Linked DNA regions of Oryctolagus cuniculus. The main gene of each other region encodes a partner of the protein of the gene in region 2 in a complex. Links are inferred from orthologs where the notes say so. Each region holds a gene or a part of one and is shown on either strand. Other genes may lie near its edges.

Region 1 (4,279 bases), on a different chromosome or scaffold from region 2:
TTTGGTCTGGCCTAGACCTGGCCATTGCAGCCATTTGGGGAGTGAACAAGCAGATGCAAGATCTTTTCCCATCTCTCTCTCTCTAACTCTGCCCCTTCAAATAAACAAATAAAATCTTAAAAAAAAAAAAGACTCGGCCGGCGCCGCGGCTCACTAGGCTAATCCTCCGCCTGTGGCGCCGGCACACCAGGTTCTAGTCCCAGTTGGGGCACCAGATTCTGTCCCGGTTGCCCCTCTTCCAGGCCAGCTCTCTGCTGTGGCCCGGGAGTGCAGTGGAGGATGACCCAGGTGCTTGGGCCCTGCACCCCATGGGAGACCAGGAGAAGCACCTGGCTCCTGGCTTCGGATCAGCGCTGTGCGCCGGCCGCAGCATGCTAGCTGCGGCGGCCATTGGAGGGTGAACCAACGGCAAAGGAAGACCTTTCTCTCTGTCTCTCTCTCTCACTGTCTACTCTGCCTGTCAAAAAAAAAAAAAAAAAAAAAAAGACTTTACATTTAATAGGAATTCCAGAGAATAAAGTCTTTTGCTTCTCTGCAGAAAAAGGCCGCAGCCACAGATGTTCAAAATTAGGTCTCCTTTTCACCCATTTCCTAGATGTTGGAGGGAACCACAAAGTCAGGGAATCGGCTCAAATAACTATGCATACCCAAATTTTGTTCATTTTCCTAGAAATCTCCAGACCACTCAGTCCAGTGAGACATTCTGTGATGATAGAAATACCATGTGCTGACCAAATTAGCAACCACTAGCCACAGTAGCTACTGAGAGCTGGAAATGTGGCGAGTGGTTAGTATGCTTAATGAAATGTTAGTACTGTCTAGCATATTTTGAAATATTTATTTGAGAGACAGAAAGAAAGAGAACACTTCCACCCACTGATTTATTCCTTAAGTGCCTGCAGTGGCTGAGGCTGGGAGTCAAGTACTTAATCCAGGTCTCCCACATGGTGGTAGTAGCCTAACTACTTGGGCCACCACCTGCTGCCTGCCAGAGACTGCATTAGCAGGAAACTGAAGTCAGCAGATGGAGCCAGGGATCAAACCCAAGCATTCCAACATGCGATACAGGTACTTCAACGATGTCTTAGCCGCTAGGTCATATGCTTGCCCTGACACTGTTAAATTTAAATAGCCATATGAGGCTAGTGGCTATCAGACTGGACAATGCAGTTCAAGAATGATCATGCTCTGTGCACTGGGTTGGTGTCCTAAGCATGGAGGCTGGTAACAACTTACCTTACATGTTACAATAGAGCCCACATCTGGAAGTAATTGGGATTCCGCTTCTCTCATCACAGACACTACCGGGAGCTACAAAGAGAACAGTAAAAAATGAATGTTCTGGCTAAGCCCTGAGTAAAGTGTGGCTGGAGAGTTCGACAGGAATGCTGTGGCACAGAGTTGAGGTCACAAGGCAGATGGACTATGGATTCATTTACAGTCCAGGACAGAGGGTCTTCCATTAGGAAGAGCCCCGGGGGCCCTGGCAAGGCTGCTGTAGAAGACATAAGTTAACCATTCCAGAGCAGAGTTGGTTTTTTGGTGACTTGGAATTTCTCAGTACACCACTATATTACCTGTAGCCATGGATTTGATTCTGACCTCCAAAGTCGCACTGTTTCTATTTCTTATTTTATTGCCCGGCTAACATTTCTAAGTGTTTTATAATACTGGATACTGGTTTCCTTCTATCTTTAGAGAATATCTGTAGGGCTTTCTTTCTGAGCAAGCACGTTCTAATTCTGAATCCTTTTTCTCCTGTGCTACCCATCTTTAAGCTGCTCCTTCCAAGACTGCGTATCTGATCGGGAGCTGGTCCTGGTTTGATCTCTGGAACTGGCCAGGACAACATCGCTCATGTATTCAACTGACCATCTGCCTTGTGCCGGGCACTGCAGGTAAGGTGGGTGGTGCGGCCTGCTTGCGTGGAACTTTGGGCGTTTGCAGGCTGAAACAAGTGCTCGGAAGTGAGTTTAACAAAATAAAAACAAGACTCAACCTCCCCCACCCCCACCCCCGCCAAAATCCCTTCCAAAAAGTGATACGAGAGGCTAGTTGAACGAGGTCAGAGTTACATAGACCGAGGAGAGGCGCGCGTTCAGGCGGATGGCAGGAGACACGGGGGAAGCAAGCCAACTGCACTGCGGGCAGTGCCGCCGAGCCGGATGAAGACGGACAGGTCGGGACTACTCGGGCGGGATTCGGCTGGCTGCCGGATTGGCCGGGGTCACTCTCAGCTCGCAGCTGCCCCTAGGGGTCGGCAGCCCCAACCGCGCGAGGTCCACACGACCGGTGTGCGGCGCCCACGGCCAACCGAGACCAAGTCGTTCTACAGGGACGCGCCTGCCCTACCCGGGCCTAAGGGCCGGAACTCAAGGGCAGTCCATGACAAAGAAGGGAGATGGCCAGCCGCCCCGCGTACCGCGCCGTTCTCGCTGGTCTTCGTTAGACAGCCGGCGAGGGAAGAAAAGATGTATCCGTGCCGTGTGTAGGTGCCGCTGCCTGGGCTGCCCTCCTCCAAGTTACACAGACGTTCGCCTGCGGAAAGAGCGCTGCATCGGTCACTGGTCCCCAGAGGCTGCTAGGCGTCCTGCCTTCCTGCCTCTGGCCCTAGCCGGGACTCCGTACGGGAGCCGTGCACTTACCGGGGATGCAGTACCTTACAGGTGGCGCCATGACTGCCACTGTCCCAGAGCCCGGATGGAAACGAAGCCGACGTCTCGTTGGCCGAACCCAGACACAGTGCTGCAGTAAGGAACGTGCCAATTGGCGGGCTTTGTCACGTGCCCGGCGACACGCCTCCTGCAGGGCAAACTCCATTTCCCAGGTTTCCCCGGGAGAAGGCCGGGGGCGGAACTTCGGGCTCGTGTGCCTGCGCCTGCGCCTGCGCCTAGGGTTGAGGATGGGCAGGCGGCGGGTCCGGGTCCATTGGCAGGCGCTGCGGCTGGCGGGGCATGGTGGGACGGATTGAGCCAGGCCCGCCCGGGGCGCCAGGCTGGAGTAGGTGGCAGTGAGCTGCGGCCGAGGCTGCGGGGCGTGATTTGGATGATCGAGGAATTGGCAGGCGGCAGGTAGGGGCGAAGCCGTGGCCCTTGCTCCCTCTCATAGCCCCTGTTTTGTAGGGTCGGGCCCTGCCCCAGGGCCCTGTCTTGAGTCTGGTTTCTTGCTCTCCTCGCCCCGCCCTGCAAGGCCGAGCAGTCCTCGGGCGAGGCGCACCCTCTGGGCAACCATAACGCACAGAGCAGAAGTTAACCAACCCAACTTGCCCATTTCTCAGATTTGGAAATCCAACGCCAGGGTTTGACTTGTCCCGAGCCTTGAAGATAATTCAAGATAGAGCGCAAGCCGGATCCAAGCTTTCGGCTTCCAGTGCATCGCGGTTTGACCATGCCGCCCTACCTGAAAGATAAGGCTCGTTCTGCAGCTGTAGTTGTCCGGGCCCTTCTTTAACTTTTGACGAACTGACCCGTGAGAAAGTTGCTACCCTTTCTCTTAGCGGGTTAGCCAGGAAGGGAAGTGGGCACGTGAGTAAGTTGCTATTCTTTACTGACTTCTGACATCTCTTGCATGAGCTTGCACACATCCTGAGAGCAGCATCTTTGTCTAGATGAGATTGGCACGACTTTGATATTTTTTTAAATTTATTTGACACAGAGACAGAGATCTTCCATATGCAATGGAAGCAGGATTTTTTTTTTTTTAATTAATTAATTTGAAAGGAAGACATGGAGAGGAGGAGAGAGATCTTCCATCCACTGGCTCATTCCTTAAATGGCCGCAATGGCCAGGGCTGGGCCAGCCAGGAGCCAGGAGCTTCTTCCGGGTCTCCCACGTGGGTGTAGGGACCCAAGCACTTGGGCCATCCTCTGCTACTTTCCCAGGCGCATTAGCAGGGAGCTGGAATGGAAGACTGAGAATGAGAGGCCAAGGAGGGTGTTAATCACTGCCAGACGCCTGCCCCTGACGTTGGCTGCTTCATCTCCCTTCCAGTGGCTTTGGAATCTGTCCCCTCGCCTCCCCCCATTGGTTTCCCCTTGGGAACAGATGGCGCTTTAGAGCCCTGGGAAGAGGGAGGTGCCTTGGCCTGTAGTCTCCTGTAATATGATGGCAGATGGCCACGAGAGCCTGTGGCTGCTGCTGACAGGAGGACTCCGGTTGGTGCTTGGTGCAATAGTAGAACTGCCCTTTGCTCTGTTCCCTTCTCTCTGCACTGAGATTGCCCCTTCCTCAGACGCACATGATGTTTGGAATTTTGCTTCGCCTCGGGGGAGAAGTCCAT
Region 2 (4,157 bases):
CTGTTCTGTTCACTCAAGGAAACATTAAATATCTACTTTTTGTCAGTGACCACGTTCCTAGAGAGGAACAAAACACTGTCTGCCTTTCAGAAGCATTTGGTCTTGGAGTGCAGCTGGGATGCACAGATTAGATTTCATTCGAGGCCAAATTCAGTTAAGTGCTAAAGCAAAGATAAAAAAGTGATGACTGGCAATGCCTTCACAAAGATGGTCCTGTTCACCCCAGATCCCAAAGGATGAGCCTGTGCAATCCCGACAGGGAACAACCTGAATGACCCAAGCAAGATACACGGGCAGGAAACTGAGTTCAGTAGAGTATGGTGTGATTCACGCACGCTGTGAAGGAGGTAACGCTGAGGAATTCTGCAGGCTTTGAAGAATCTTCCTTTTAGTCTGAGAAAGGGGATATCAGCTCCCCAAAGCCTCTATGGATGGGGTAAAAGGGTGGAGGTAAAGGAGTTAATAGGATCACTCACTGACTTCAGTTGTGGGGGCGGGGGTTTAAGGCCTGAACTTGCAAAGTGGAGACAAAGGGATGGAGGTAGGCTCAAAATAGGATTAAGCAACTAGTGACTAGAGGTGAAAGGGCAAAGAAGCCACCAAGTTCCTGGCTTGGGTAGACAGGAAGGGTGTGGCTATGCGACCTGAGAAGGCCAATTGCAAACTTTAGGTAAGAAGATGACTCCTCTGCAGGGCGAACAGACAGCTGCTGCTGATCTGCACCACCTGTCCTTCCCCCTCTCTAAGGCTGTGCCTGACCTTGGCCAGTGGATACGGACCTAACAGGTAACAGCGGAGAAAACAGAACCTCTCCCCTCCAAGGTGAAGCCTCCCAGGAACCAACGTCACAAATATAAACCAAGTGTGTGCCTCTGCTCCTGCAGACTCTGAAGGAACTCTGAGAGCCCGAACACTCAGAGATGATCCCGCACAGCTGGGAGAATGGCCAGGCTCTGGAGACAGGTCAGGCAGCTGCTGGATAAATGAACGTCCTAGGGGTCAAAGGCGCCATCATTACCTGCACATTAGGTCTGTTTCTTTTCGTTGCACCTTCAAATGCCAAGTAAGACAAAGAAGCTGGCTCACTCCCTCCAACGTCAACTTTGAATATATCTCCAGACTTAGCCGTCACTATGCCAATCACGTGGTCTCCTTTCACTGGAACATACTACAAAACAGAATTGAGAGAACAGCCATAAATGGCAAGCTATCATTGCAAGATATCTCCAGCAAGTTAGCCTTAGTTGTTGTCATTAAAGAGATAATTTTAAATATTCCGAAATGCAAGTTTACAAGTTAACCCATACAAGTTTGATTATATGCCATTTTCAGTAAAAGAGAGATCACAGTATAAACTCTCAGATTTACAGCTTCTATTCATTTTTTTAAAGATTTATTTATTTTTATTTGAGAATCAGAGTTACACAGAAAGGAGAGAGGAGGATAGAGGAAGAGGGGGAAAGGGGGAGAGAGGTCTTCCATCCGATGGGTCACTCCCCAGTTGGCCACAGCAGCCAGAGCTGCGCCGATCCAAAACCAGGAGCCTGGAGCTTCCTCCAGGTCTCCCATGTAGGTGCAGGGGCCCAATGACTTGGGCCATCTTCTACTGCTTTCCCAGGCCATAGCAAAGAGCTGGATCAGAAGAGGAGCAGCCGGGACTCGAATGGGCGCCCATAAGGGATGCCGGTGCTTCAGACCAGGGCGTTAACCTGCTGCACCACAAGTGGCCCCTACAGCTTCTATTCATTTGAGCCAGTATTTACCAGTAAGTCCCTAGCTTCTGCTGCATCCAAGTCCAGTGGCACTGGAATCCTTAGAACCAGGAAAGCACATTCCATTGTTAGACACTTTTTCCTACCAGGAAAGTTCTCACCTAAGAGCGATTTAACTCCCTGTAACTGCCACTCATTGAGCCTGGTTCTGCTCGCTGGGACGCCAAAGGTCAAGCCTGCTGTTCCAAAACCACTGGGATTTTAATGACAATAACCATGATTCAGTCTCCAGAGGCCTCTGTCAGGCTGCATCCCTACTGTTCATGGTCCTACATACAGTGGCTGCTGAGGTGGGCCCTGCACTACGGTGGTTCCAAATCAGCCTTAACGCAGCAAGGCACCACGGCCGCGCCCCCCACCCCTGACTTAACACAAGGCCCCTCGGCGGCCCCTTCCACGCTCACAGCCGCGCCCCCACCCCCCGCCTTAACACTGCAAGGCCCCACGGCGGCCTCTTCCACGCTCACGGCCGCGCCCCCACCCCCCGCCCTAACACAGGAAGACCCCTCGGCGGCCTCTTCCACGCTCACGGCAGCGCCCCCACCCTCCGCCTTAACACTGCAAGGCCCCACGGCGGCTTCTTCCATGCTCACGGCCGCGCCCCCACCTCCCCGTCCCCCCCGGGATCCCAGCTCACCCGCTTCTGTTGCGAGTCCACCCAGTAAACGCCACCGCCACTGCCACTGCTGGGCTCCTTGTGGCGGAGGAGGCCGCACTTGGTGACCAGAAGACGATCGCCAGAGCGCCGCAAGCCCGGGCCGCACACCACGCGCACGCGCGAGCACACCCCGGCATTCAGGCGTAACGGCCGCTCCCCGGCCCCGCCAGCGCCGTCTGCGTCCTCCTGTTCCGGCAGCAGCAGCTCCTCTCCTGGGAGCACCACCTGGTTCAGAACCGTGCACGCCGCCCGCGCCCCGCTGCCCGCGAGAGACTCAGCTGTGACAGGCGCAGATTCAGCCATAGTAGGCGTCACTAAACACTGCTTCCGGTACCCAACTTCCGCTTCCGTCTCCGAGTGGAGCAGCCAGCCCACGGCCGGATTTCCGCTTCCGGCCGTGGCTGTCGTTTGGCCTTGCACCCAAGTCTGCGAAGCCGGGTCTCTGCCAGCAGGCGGGTGCTCCTCGCCCAAGGCGGCTGTGATTGTGTCAGGACCCGAGCACCTGCCTCGTGGTCTGCCCGCGGGTCGGCAGTGAGCCACGCCCAGCTTGAGTCCACTGGAGAAGCCTGCACTTCCGGTCGCACCCCTGGACTACAAGATACTTCTCATAGGATCCCTGGAGAATTACGGGAGCTGAACAGAGGGACTTTGGAAACTACTTTGTGGGGCTCTTTTCGGACGCTACCTTCAGAAGTGTGCTGACCTTTACCAGGAAAAGTACTTTTTCTTCAAAGTAAAACTTCTTGGGGACCTGCGTTGTGGCCTAGTGGGTAAGGCTGCTGTGGTTCGAGTGCCGGCTGCTCCACTTCCCATCCAGCTCCCTGCTCACCTGGGAAAGCAGCAGAGGATGGTCCAAATCCTCGGGTTCCTGCATCCGCCTGGGAGATCTGGATGAAGCTCCAGGCTCCTGGCTTGGGTCTGGCTCAGCCCCTGCCTTGGAGGCCATTTGGGGAGTGAACCAGGAGGTGGAAGAGCTCTGTCGCTCTGTAACTCTGCCTTTTAAATAAATAAAATAAATCATAAAAAAAAAAAACACCTTGATTGTAACTAGAGAAGAAAACGTATTGGTCTTGCCTGTTTGTGTGCTCTTCCATGCCGACCACTCTAGTTCTGATTGTAGCCCAAGGTCTGGTATGAAACAATGCCTGGGCCGGCGCCGAGGCTCACTAGGCTAATCCTCCGCCTGCGGCGCCGGCACTCCAGGTTCTAGTCCCGGTCCGGGCGCCGGATTCTGTCCCAGCTGCTCCTCTTCCAGTCCAGCTCTCTGCTGTGGCCAGGGAGTGCAGTGGAGGATGGCCCAAGTGCTTGGGCCCTGCACCCCATGGGAGACCAGGAGAAGCACCTGGCACCTGGCTCTTGGCTTCGGATCAGCGCGGTGCGCCGGCAGCGGCGGCCATTGGAGGGTGAACCAATGGCAAAAGGAAGACCTTTCTCTCTGTCTCTCTCTCTCACTGTCCACTCTCCCTGTCAAAAAAAAAGAAAAAAAGAAACAATGCCTGATAAGTAAATGAATATAGTAATACTGTGACACACATTTGCCCCTAGACTTTTCACCCTGCAAAAATACACATCGCATTCACATATTATCTCTGCATGCCTGGGAAAATCAGTAACTGAGTTAAATTCCTACAGCTACCTTACCAAGAGCACACTTTTGATGCCCACGTGAGAAACCAAACACCTCGTACAGGTACTTCAGGGCTTCCAATCTTCCGACTTCTTGAGTC
Region 3 (4,200 bases), on a different chromosome or scaffold from region 2:
TCAATTTTCTACACATTTATGCAGATTACATACCATCACTCACTATTAAAAGGCATCACCAAACACTTCCCTCAATTTCTTAACTGATATATTATTTAAAATTAAGGATGAGGATTGAAAAAGTTGCTTCATTTTAGTACATTTGACAGATTTGCGTAAGAGTCATTAAACTTGAGTCATATGATCTAGTACTCACTGGTAAAAGCTTTTTGAGCAACTAAATACTAAAAAACATACCTGAATGCCTAATCACAGAGGTATAGGTGTATATTACAATTTAATAAATACAGGAAGCTAATTTGGTAGCTCAAATCTCAATGGGACACATGTTAAACTTACTGCTTTAATTCCACAAATTACTGTAGTATTTCCCAGCTTCACTAAAGCAGAACCATCTGCAGTACTAATTGAACCTGAAAAGTAAACAGAATGATTAGTCTCTAAAAGGAAAAGTTACAGAATTACCTAAATAAGTATTAAAACTCTGTGTCTCATGTTTGCCATGTGTAATTATCTTGCTACGTATCTGTTGCTTGCAAAAACTGATTCCAAGTTTGAATAACTGATTTTAAAATGGTATAACAAATTAAATTAATGTTTTTAGAATTATTCACCTATCCTTGAATTTGAATCAATTTTTCAGTCTGAATAGTACAGAAAATCATTGGCCAGCGCCACGGCTCAATAGGCTAATCCTCCACCTGCGGCACCGGCACACTGGGTTCTAGTCCCGGCTGCCCCTCTTCCAGGCCAGCTCTCTGCTGTGGCCCGGGAAGGCAGTGGAGGATGGCCCAAGTCCTTGAGCCCTGCACGCGCATGGGAGACCAGGAGAAGCACCTGGCTCCTGGCTTCGCATTAGTACGGTGCACTGGCCGCAGTGGCCATTTGAGGGTGAACCAACGGCAAAGGAAGACCTTTCTCTCTGTCTCTCTCTCTCACTGTCCACTCTGCCTGTCAAAAAAAAAAAAAAAAATCCCTCGGATATGATAAATTTGGCTCAAAAACCATGTATGTGGTTCAGAAGGCTAAAACTTGCAAATGTCATACAGTTGTAGCTGGAAAACACATCCTCACCTATATTAACGGTTGTGGTTCTGAATTCACCAAGTTCTCTTCCATCAGGGCGACAATTCTCTTTCTAAATAGAAAGTTTACTTATAAGAGATTATGTTATATTGTCATGTGTATTTTACACACACCAGGGGAGACACATTAAACCCCATTAATGCAAATGAATTTAAATTACTTGGAATATGTCTTTAAAAGAATATTACATATTATATATACTGTAATAATATATTATCAAAATAGCACATACATAACCACCTTTACTCACCAGAAATCTTCTGTAATACTCCAAAGGTTCCACAGTTCTGAAACACGTTAATACTGAAGTAAATTAATGAGTCTTAACTGGCAAAGAATTTTAAAATGTGATACAGCATAAACCTCCACAACTTGTAACTAAGTTTCTTTTGCGCATTTTGATGTTCATGTTGCTGCCTGCAAGTATGGGGGAATCTTCAAAAAGTTTTAAAAAAAGTGTGTATTAGAAAAACTACATGGATTTCAAAATTTGGAGCATGAAAATAAATTTTTCTTTTATTTTCCATGAACCTTTTGAAGTAACCTTGTAATTATAAAAAGTATATACCCTTACAGTAGCAATCACACCCCATTGCTGCCTTTAACTGTCTTAAACAAACAGAGCACTGGAATCCAGAGTCCTTTGACATGTCTGAAAGAGGATTAATTTATGAGTTAAAATAATCATTTAATAATCACTTTTGCTCTGAGACAGGGATTCTTAACCTAGTGATCATGAAAAAAGCCACATCTTCATTTATTGTAACTGAAATTCAGCATACACTTTAGCATAGAGTTCAGTTATGACTGCAAACATGCAATAAACCATTATAATAACAGCAGTACCTACAACTTTAGCAGAGATAATGTTCTGATTTTTTACTTTCATGTGCATGTTGAGGTTCATCTTTACTCTGAAATTCCCGGAGTTACTGGACGCCCTACTACTTAAGAAAGCTAATTTTATATCCTAAAGAGTTTATAATAACTTCAATATGATTTGTTTCCTTTGGAACCCAGGGGCTGGCTCAAGTACTTGGGTTCCTGCCACCCACGTGGGAAACCTGGAGGGGACTGTCCAGCTCCCAGCTTCAGACATCTGAGGAGTGGACCAGAGGATGGATAGCTCTATCCATATGTCTCCCAAGTGAAAAAAAAAAAAAAAAAAACCTTAGAAAACATCTTACTCGGAGAGTCAATAGGCTTCAACAGAATAGCACCCAAAAAAGGCTTGAAGTCAAACCTTTTGAAGGACGCACAACCCTCGGAAACACACTACGCGACCCGGAGGACCGGGCACAGGGGGCTCGATGCAACAATCTTTGCGGGGCTACAGAACTGTCCCCCGGGTGCGCGTTCCCTGCACCGCGGGCTCACACGCGCTCCAGTCCCTACATCCCCAGTCTCCACTCAGGGGCACCTCCAGGTCCTCCCGCCTGTCGCCTGCTTTGGCGGGGAAAAAAACGGGACCTTGGCGGGGTCGACTTCCAGGCGAGAAAAATCTTAACTAAGGGTTGGGGAAACCCCCAAGCGCCAGAGTCCACAACTCGGGCCCGCCAGACACTGACACTCACTTGAACCCGGCCGCCATCTTCCCCGCGCGCGCGCCTGCGCCTGCGCCGCTCCGCCCACCGGCACGCGCGCCTGCGCAGAGCTCTCACGTCCCGGCGGTCGCCGGGGCCTTCCCGCAGCCGCTGGAGGTGCGCTTGGCGGCGCGGTATCGTGGTGGCGCTCGCTTGGCCTTGGCCTTCCCGAGCCGGATGCGCCTCTAGGTTTCCTTGCCTTGCACGTATTTTGACGAATCTGGCATCAGAGAAGTGAAAGGGTGTTCTTTAGGAAAGGTTGAGGGTTCAGAATAACGCCAGCAGTTTAAGAGACAACAGCTTATACCAAGGGCTGCACAGTGCGTGCGCAGCTCCCGTGTCTCTTCCCCATCTCAGGCGAGGCCCAGGTGAGGGGCTGCCAGCTCCTGCACCTCGGAAATGCGTGCTGCTCTCCAGGTTACACTGTGCAAGCCCAGGAGCTGGAGCAGTGTGCGTTAATCCACCATGTCCTGCCTCCCAGGCAGGGTTGCCAGGTCCAGTACAGGCCACCCAACTAAATCTGAATGAAGATTGGGAAAACAAGGTTGACCATTCTAGTAGGAGTGCATGTCCTTAGTTGTCAGTAGGAGCTGGGATGAACAGGGCAAGTTTTAGCTATAGACATGGTTGCACAGAGTTCCGAAGGTAATCAACACCACTCTACTGTGCACTCCACATGGTTAAAACGGCCAAATCTGTTTAACCTGAATTTTAAAATAGTAATAGAACCCATACCTCTAAATGCGTGGACTGCACCGTATGCGAGTTACATAGTTCAAGGCCGTTAAAATTATTAGTTGTTGAGCTGAAACTCAAGCGGACGTCTCGTGCACCTGACTTACCGAACGCAGCTCGCCCTGCAGTCTGCGGCCTCTCCGCGGATGCAGCGCCTGGCCCAGCCGCGCGGCGCGTCCTCGCCGTCGGCGCCTGCCCGGGTCGCGGCCGGCCGTGGCCGCGCGGGGGCGCTGTGGGCGGAGGGCGCCCGGCCGCCGCGGCCTCTCTGGCGGCGGGAGGCGGGCCCGCGCGGGCGCACTTCCGCGTGTGTGGAGCTGCGGGATAGGGAGGGCGGCGGAGACGGCCCCGGCATGGAGGATGGCTCCGCTCCTGCTGCAGCTGGCGGTGCTCGGCGTGGCGCTTGCGGCCGCAGCACTCATACTGGTGAGGACAGGGGTCGGGAGCGGCGCGGGCCTGGGCTCCCCGTTCCCCTGCAGCCGCAGGCGCCCAGGGCGTCCGCTCTTTGGGTGCTGCGGCTTCTTGAACTAGTCCGTTTTCTCCCCGCTTGACTCCAGTTCCATCTCCTGGATTTCAGTTCCTCCTGTCCTTGGAACTCTGTGCCCGGGACCCTGTAAACTTTGCCACGTTGGACTCACCAACCCATACACTCGTCCCGGCCTTGCTCGCCCCCTGGTCCGAGACCCCCTGCCCACCCAGCTTGCCAGCCTCGACCTATGCTTCCATCTTCCAGACTTGCTTTTCCTGCACCTGCAGCCTCTGCAGTTCTGCCCTCACCCCACCCCGAGGGCGTTTGGAC
Region 4 (3,056 bases), on a different chromosome or scaffold from region 2:
AGCCATGCTCCTCTGCTTTCCCAGAAGCCAGTTCACCCGCCCTCTCCCCAGGGGCTCAGGCTGGACAACGGGCAGATGAAGGCAGCCCAGGGGCCCACTCAGCGGCAGTGCAGGCCTTTGACTGGACTGCTGTGGCCCTGGCCACGGAAGGCTGGGATCCGGCTTCCACCCCCAGCAAAACCCTTTCCAGCTCTCGGGAACCCTGCGCTGGGGCCTCTCGCGGCACAGCCATGAGCTCCGGGACCCCCGAGTGCTCCCGGGCCGTCCAACTCTCCTCCCGGCGCAGCAGCCGCCCTCACGGGCACCGGAGGCGGCGGCGTGTCTTCCTGCCAAGCACACGGCCCACTTCTAAACCCGCAGCTGCTTCAGGATTCTGGCCCGTCTGGTCGGCTCACCGGTCCAAGGGACACGACACAGGCGGGGCAGTGCTGTCCTGAGCCTCACCGCCAGGGAGCCTTGCTCTCTCTGAAAATCCTGTACTAAGAACCACGACACGCGTATTTCGAATACAAAAAAAAACGGTTTTGTTGTTTCAGTCCCGCTGTGAGAAGGCGCAGCGCCCTGTCCATCGTCTCCGGAGTCACACAGATCCCGCGCTCCGGACCAGGCCGGCTCAAGTCCTTCCCAGCTCGGGAGTAAGCAAGCAGCCCGCGGCTTCCTGCGCTGGCTTCTGGCTGGGGACTGGAAAGATCGTCAAACGTTCGTCTGTCGACAGCCGTTCCAACGCAACTGTCCATCTCCGCACGCTCTGTCCGCTCGCGGCTCCACTTCGCCCGCCGGCTCAGGGCAGGGCGGCGCCCCTGCGGCGGGCGGCCCGCACCAGGCACTGCTGCAGCACCGGGTAGAGTCGCTGGCAGCCCTCGAGGCCCAGCCGCACGGCTTCGGCCCAAGTCTCGGTCGCGTCGCCCTCCCCGCTGCCCAGCAGCCCGGCCACCTGGTTGAGCACCGGCATGAGGGCCACGGTGAGGCCGGCGGCGGCGCGCTCCTCCTCCAGCCGCGTCGGGTCCAGCAGCCAGGCGGGCGTGGGCCCCTGCGCGCGGCTCAGGCCGCAGCCCACCACCAGGTCGTACATCTCGACGCCCGCGTCGGCCAGGGCGAGGGCGGCGGCCGTGAGGGCGGCGGCCAGCGCCGAGCCGCCGTCCTCCAGCAGCAGCGCCGACACCTCGAGCTGCGCGCGCGGGTAGCGGCTCAGGCGCACGGCCGGCTCCAGCGCCTCCTGCAACGCCAGGGCCAGCTCGCGCTCCTCGCCGCCGCCCGGAGGCGCCCGGCGCCGGCGGCCCGAGAAAGGCGCACGGCGGAAATCGCAGACCAGGCGGCCGCGCAGCGCGGCCGGGGCCTCGCCGCCGGCGCCGGCAGGGCCGCTCCCTCGCTCGCTGCCCTCGACCTGGCGTGGGCCCGACACGGCGCACAGCACCTTGGTGCCTCCCGCCTCCAGGTAGGCCGAGCCCTTGGCCTGGCTCAGCAGCCCGGCGCGCGCGTACACCGGCCGCAGCCGCGTCGGGTCTCGGGCGGCGGGCTCCTCTTCCTCGTCGGCGGCGTACAGCTGCGGCGGCTGCGACTCGTCTGGTCCGCGGATGCGGCGGTGGTCCCCGGGCATGGCGGCACCTGGCGAGCACACCGCTTCCGCCCGTCGTCCTACCGCGCGCTCCGGCTCTTCCGCCCGCTTGAAGACGCGCGCTCGCGCGGGGGCTGTCGGGAGAGCCGCAGGCAGTCGCGGCTGCACTGCCCCCTGGCGCCGTGGAGGGAGAACGGCTGCGGCGCCAAGGCTTTGAAGCCGCAGCAAGGTTGCCCAGGGCTGGACGGGCCGGTTGACTGTCTCCCAGGCCAGGTCCTACCCGAGCGCTTAGTCTTCTCACTTATGCAGGCTGTAGTTATCTTAGTTTTGCACTAATCTGTGGGACTATTTTATATGTCCCCACCGGGGAGTTGGCCTTGCTCACTCCCAAGCCCCTGGCTGGCACGAAGGCCTATATGATGGATGGAATCTCTCTCCAGCACTGGCTTTATGTAAGTCTCTTTGTATCATTAACACGGACATCAACACCCCCTTTCTGCCTCCCCTTCCCACCCTGAGAACCGCCCCTCACCCCAGCATGCACCTGCTTTTCCTTCTCCCTCCACTGTCAGCAGCACCGTGACCTGGGCTCTGGGGCCAGCCGCTGTATCCAGAGGACAGGACATCCGTTGGGGCTGGCACAGGCAAGCAGTACCTTCACCTTCCAAACTCTGCCATTTTAGACTTGGGGAAACTGGACTCAGAGACCGGCCAGTGTCTTTGGGTCAAGTGGGAGTGATGGGCAGACACTAGAGTAGGAGGCAATAGCTGCACCTTAAACATCTTCTGTACCAGAGACTGCCCTCCAGCCTCATACCCTGACCCCACATGAAGAGCTTCAGAGGGAGGGGAGGGACATGAGCCAGAGCCGCCGCCTGCAGGGCTGGCATCCGATGTGAGCACCAGTTTGAGACCAGCTGCTCCAATCCAGCTCTCTGCTATGGCCTGGGAAAGCAGTGGAAGATGGCCCAAGTGCTTGGGCCCCTGCACACGCGTGGGAGACCTGGAGGAAGCTCCTGGCTTCGGATCAGCACAGCTCCGGCCACTGCAGCCCTTTGGGTAGTGAACCAGTGGATGGAAGACCTCTCTCTCTCTGCTTTTCTGTAACTCTGCCCTTCAAATCAATCAATCTTTAAAAGAAAAAAACAATGGAGGTTCTCCAGGCGCACCTTTGCTTTGTAACCCCTCGGACCACTGAATTATTAGAGCCTCTCTCTCCATCTCACCCCCGTCTCCACAAACACTGAGTTCAAGGGTTTAGGGCTGGACTGAGCTGGAGTCAGCATGTTTTACACACCCTCGGGTAGCCAAGAGCTGTCAGCAGGGGTGCATGCTGGGAGGTAATGACCAGAAGGCATCAATGAGTATTGCACATGGTCCTTTATTCTCTGCAGCACAAGTGCCCACCTGCAGACCCAGAAGCCTCGGGTCAGCAAAGAACTGCATTTCTGGATGTGAACTTGACACAGGTAGACAGCGATCCTGGGCCAGTGGTTCTAGA

The links. Proteins that work in one complex are often made in the same cells at the same time.
Region 1: EXOSC3 (region 2) and EXOSC1 share a complex: the UniProt entries of both Homo sapiens proteins name them as parts of the RNA exosome core complex. The link is inferred for Oryctolagus cuniculus from reciprocal best matches to the Homo sapiens genes EXOSC3 and EXOSC1.
Region 3: EXOSC3 (region 2) and EXOSC8 share a complex: the UniProt entries of both Homo sapiens proteins name them as parts of the RNA exosome core complex. The link is inferred for Oryctolagus cuniculus from reciprocal best matches to the Homo sapiens genes EXOSC3 and EXOSC8.
Region 4: EXOSC3 (region 2) and EXOSC6 share a complex: the UniProt entries of both Homo sapiens proteins name them as parts of the RNA exosome core complex. The link is inferred for Oryctolagus cuniculus from reciprocal best matches to the Homo sapiens genes EXOSC3 and EXOSC6.

What each region holds. Positions count from the first base shown.
Region 1 is NC_091446.1:32,396,796-32,401,074, reverse strand, and holds the start of EXOSC1 (exosome complex component CSL4), read right to left. Parts: upstream 2,801-4,279; 5' UTR 2,677-2,800; coding exon 2,646-2,676; intron 2,539-2,645; coding exon 2,423-2,538; intron 1,312-2,422; coding exon 1,237-1,311; intron 1-1,236. UniProt on the Homo sapiens protein: Non-catalytic component of the RNA exosome complex which has 3'->5' exoribonuclease activity and participates in a multitude of cellular RNA processing and degradation events.
Region 2 is NC_091432.1:200,611,408-200,615,564, forward strand, and holds the start of EXOSC3 (exosome complex component RRP40), read right to left. Parts: upstream 2,801-4,157; 5' UTR 2,734-2,800; coding exon 2,410-2,733; intron 1,169-2,409; coding exon 1,019-1,168; intron 1-1,018. UniProt on the Homo sapiens protein: Non-catalytic component of the RNA exosome complex which has 3'->5' exoribonuclease activity and participates in a multitude of cellular RNA processing and degradation events.
Region 3 is NC_091440.1:77,082,283-77,086,482, forward strand, and holds the start of EXOSC8 (exosome complex component RRP43), read right to left. Parts: upstream 2,801-4,200; 5' UTR 2,678-2,800; coding exon 2,661-2,677; intron 1,390-2,660; coding exon of another isoform or gene 1,374-1,389; coding exon 1,337-1,373; intron 1,139-1,336; coding exon 1,075-1,138; intron 414-1,074; coding exon 340-413; intron 1-339. Other genes in the region: ALG5 (dolichyl-phosphate beta-glucosyltransferase), read left to right, coding at 3,551-3,827. UniProt on the Homo sapiens protein: Non-catalytic component of the RNA exosome complex which has 3'->5' exoribonuclease activity and participates in a multitude of cellular RNA processing and degradation events.
Region 4 is NC_091449.1:56,939,808-56,942,863, reverse strand, and holds EXOSC6 (exosome complex component MTR3), read right to left. Parts: upstream 1,672-3,056; 5' UTR 1,598-1,671; coding exon 782-1,597; 3' UTR 501-781; downstream 1-500. UniProt on the Homo sapiens protein: Non-catalytic component of the RNA exosome complex which has 3'->5' exoribonuclease activity and participates in a multitude of cellular RNA processing and degradation events.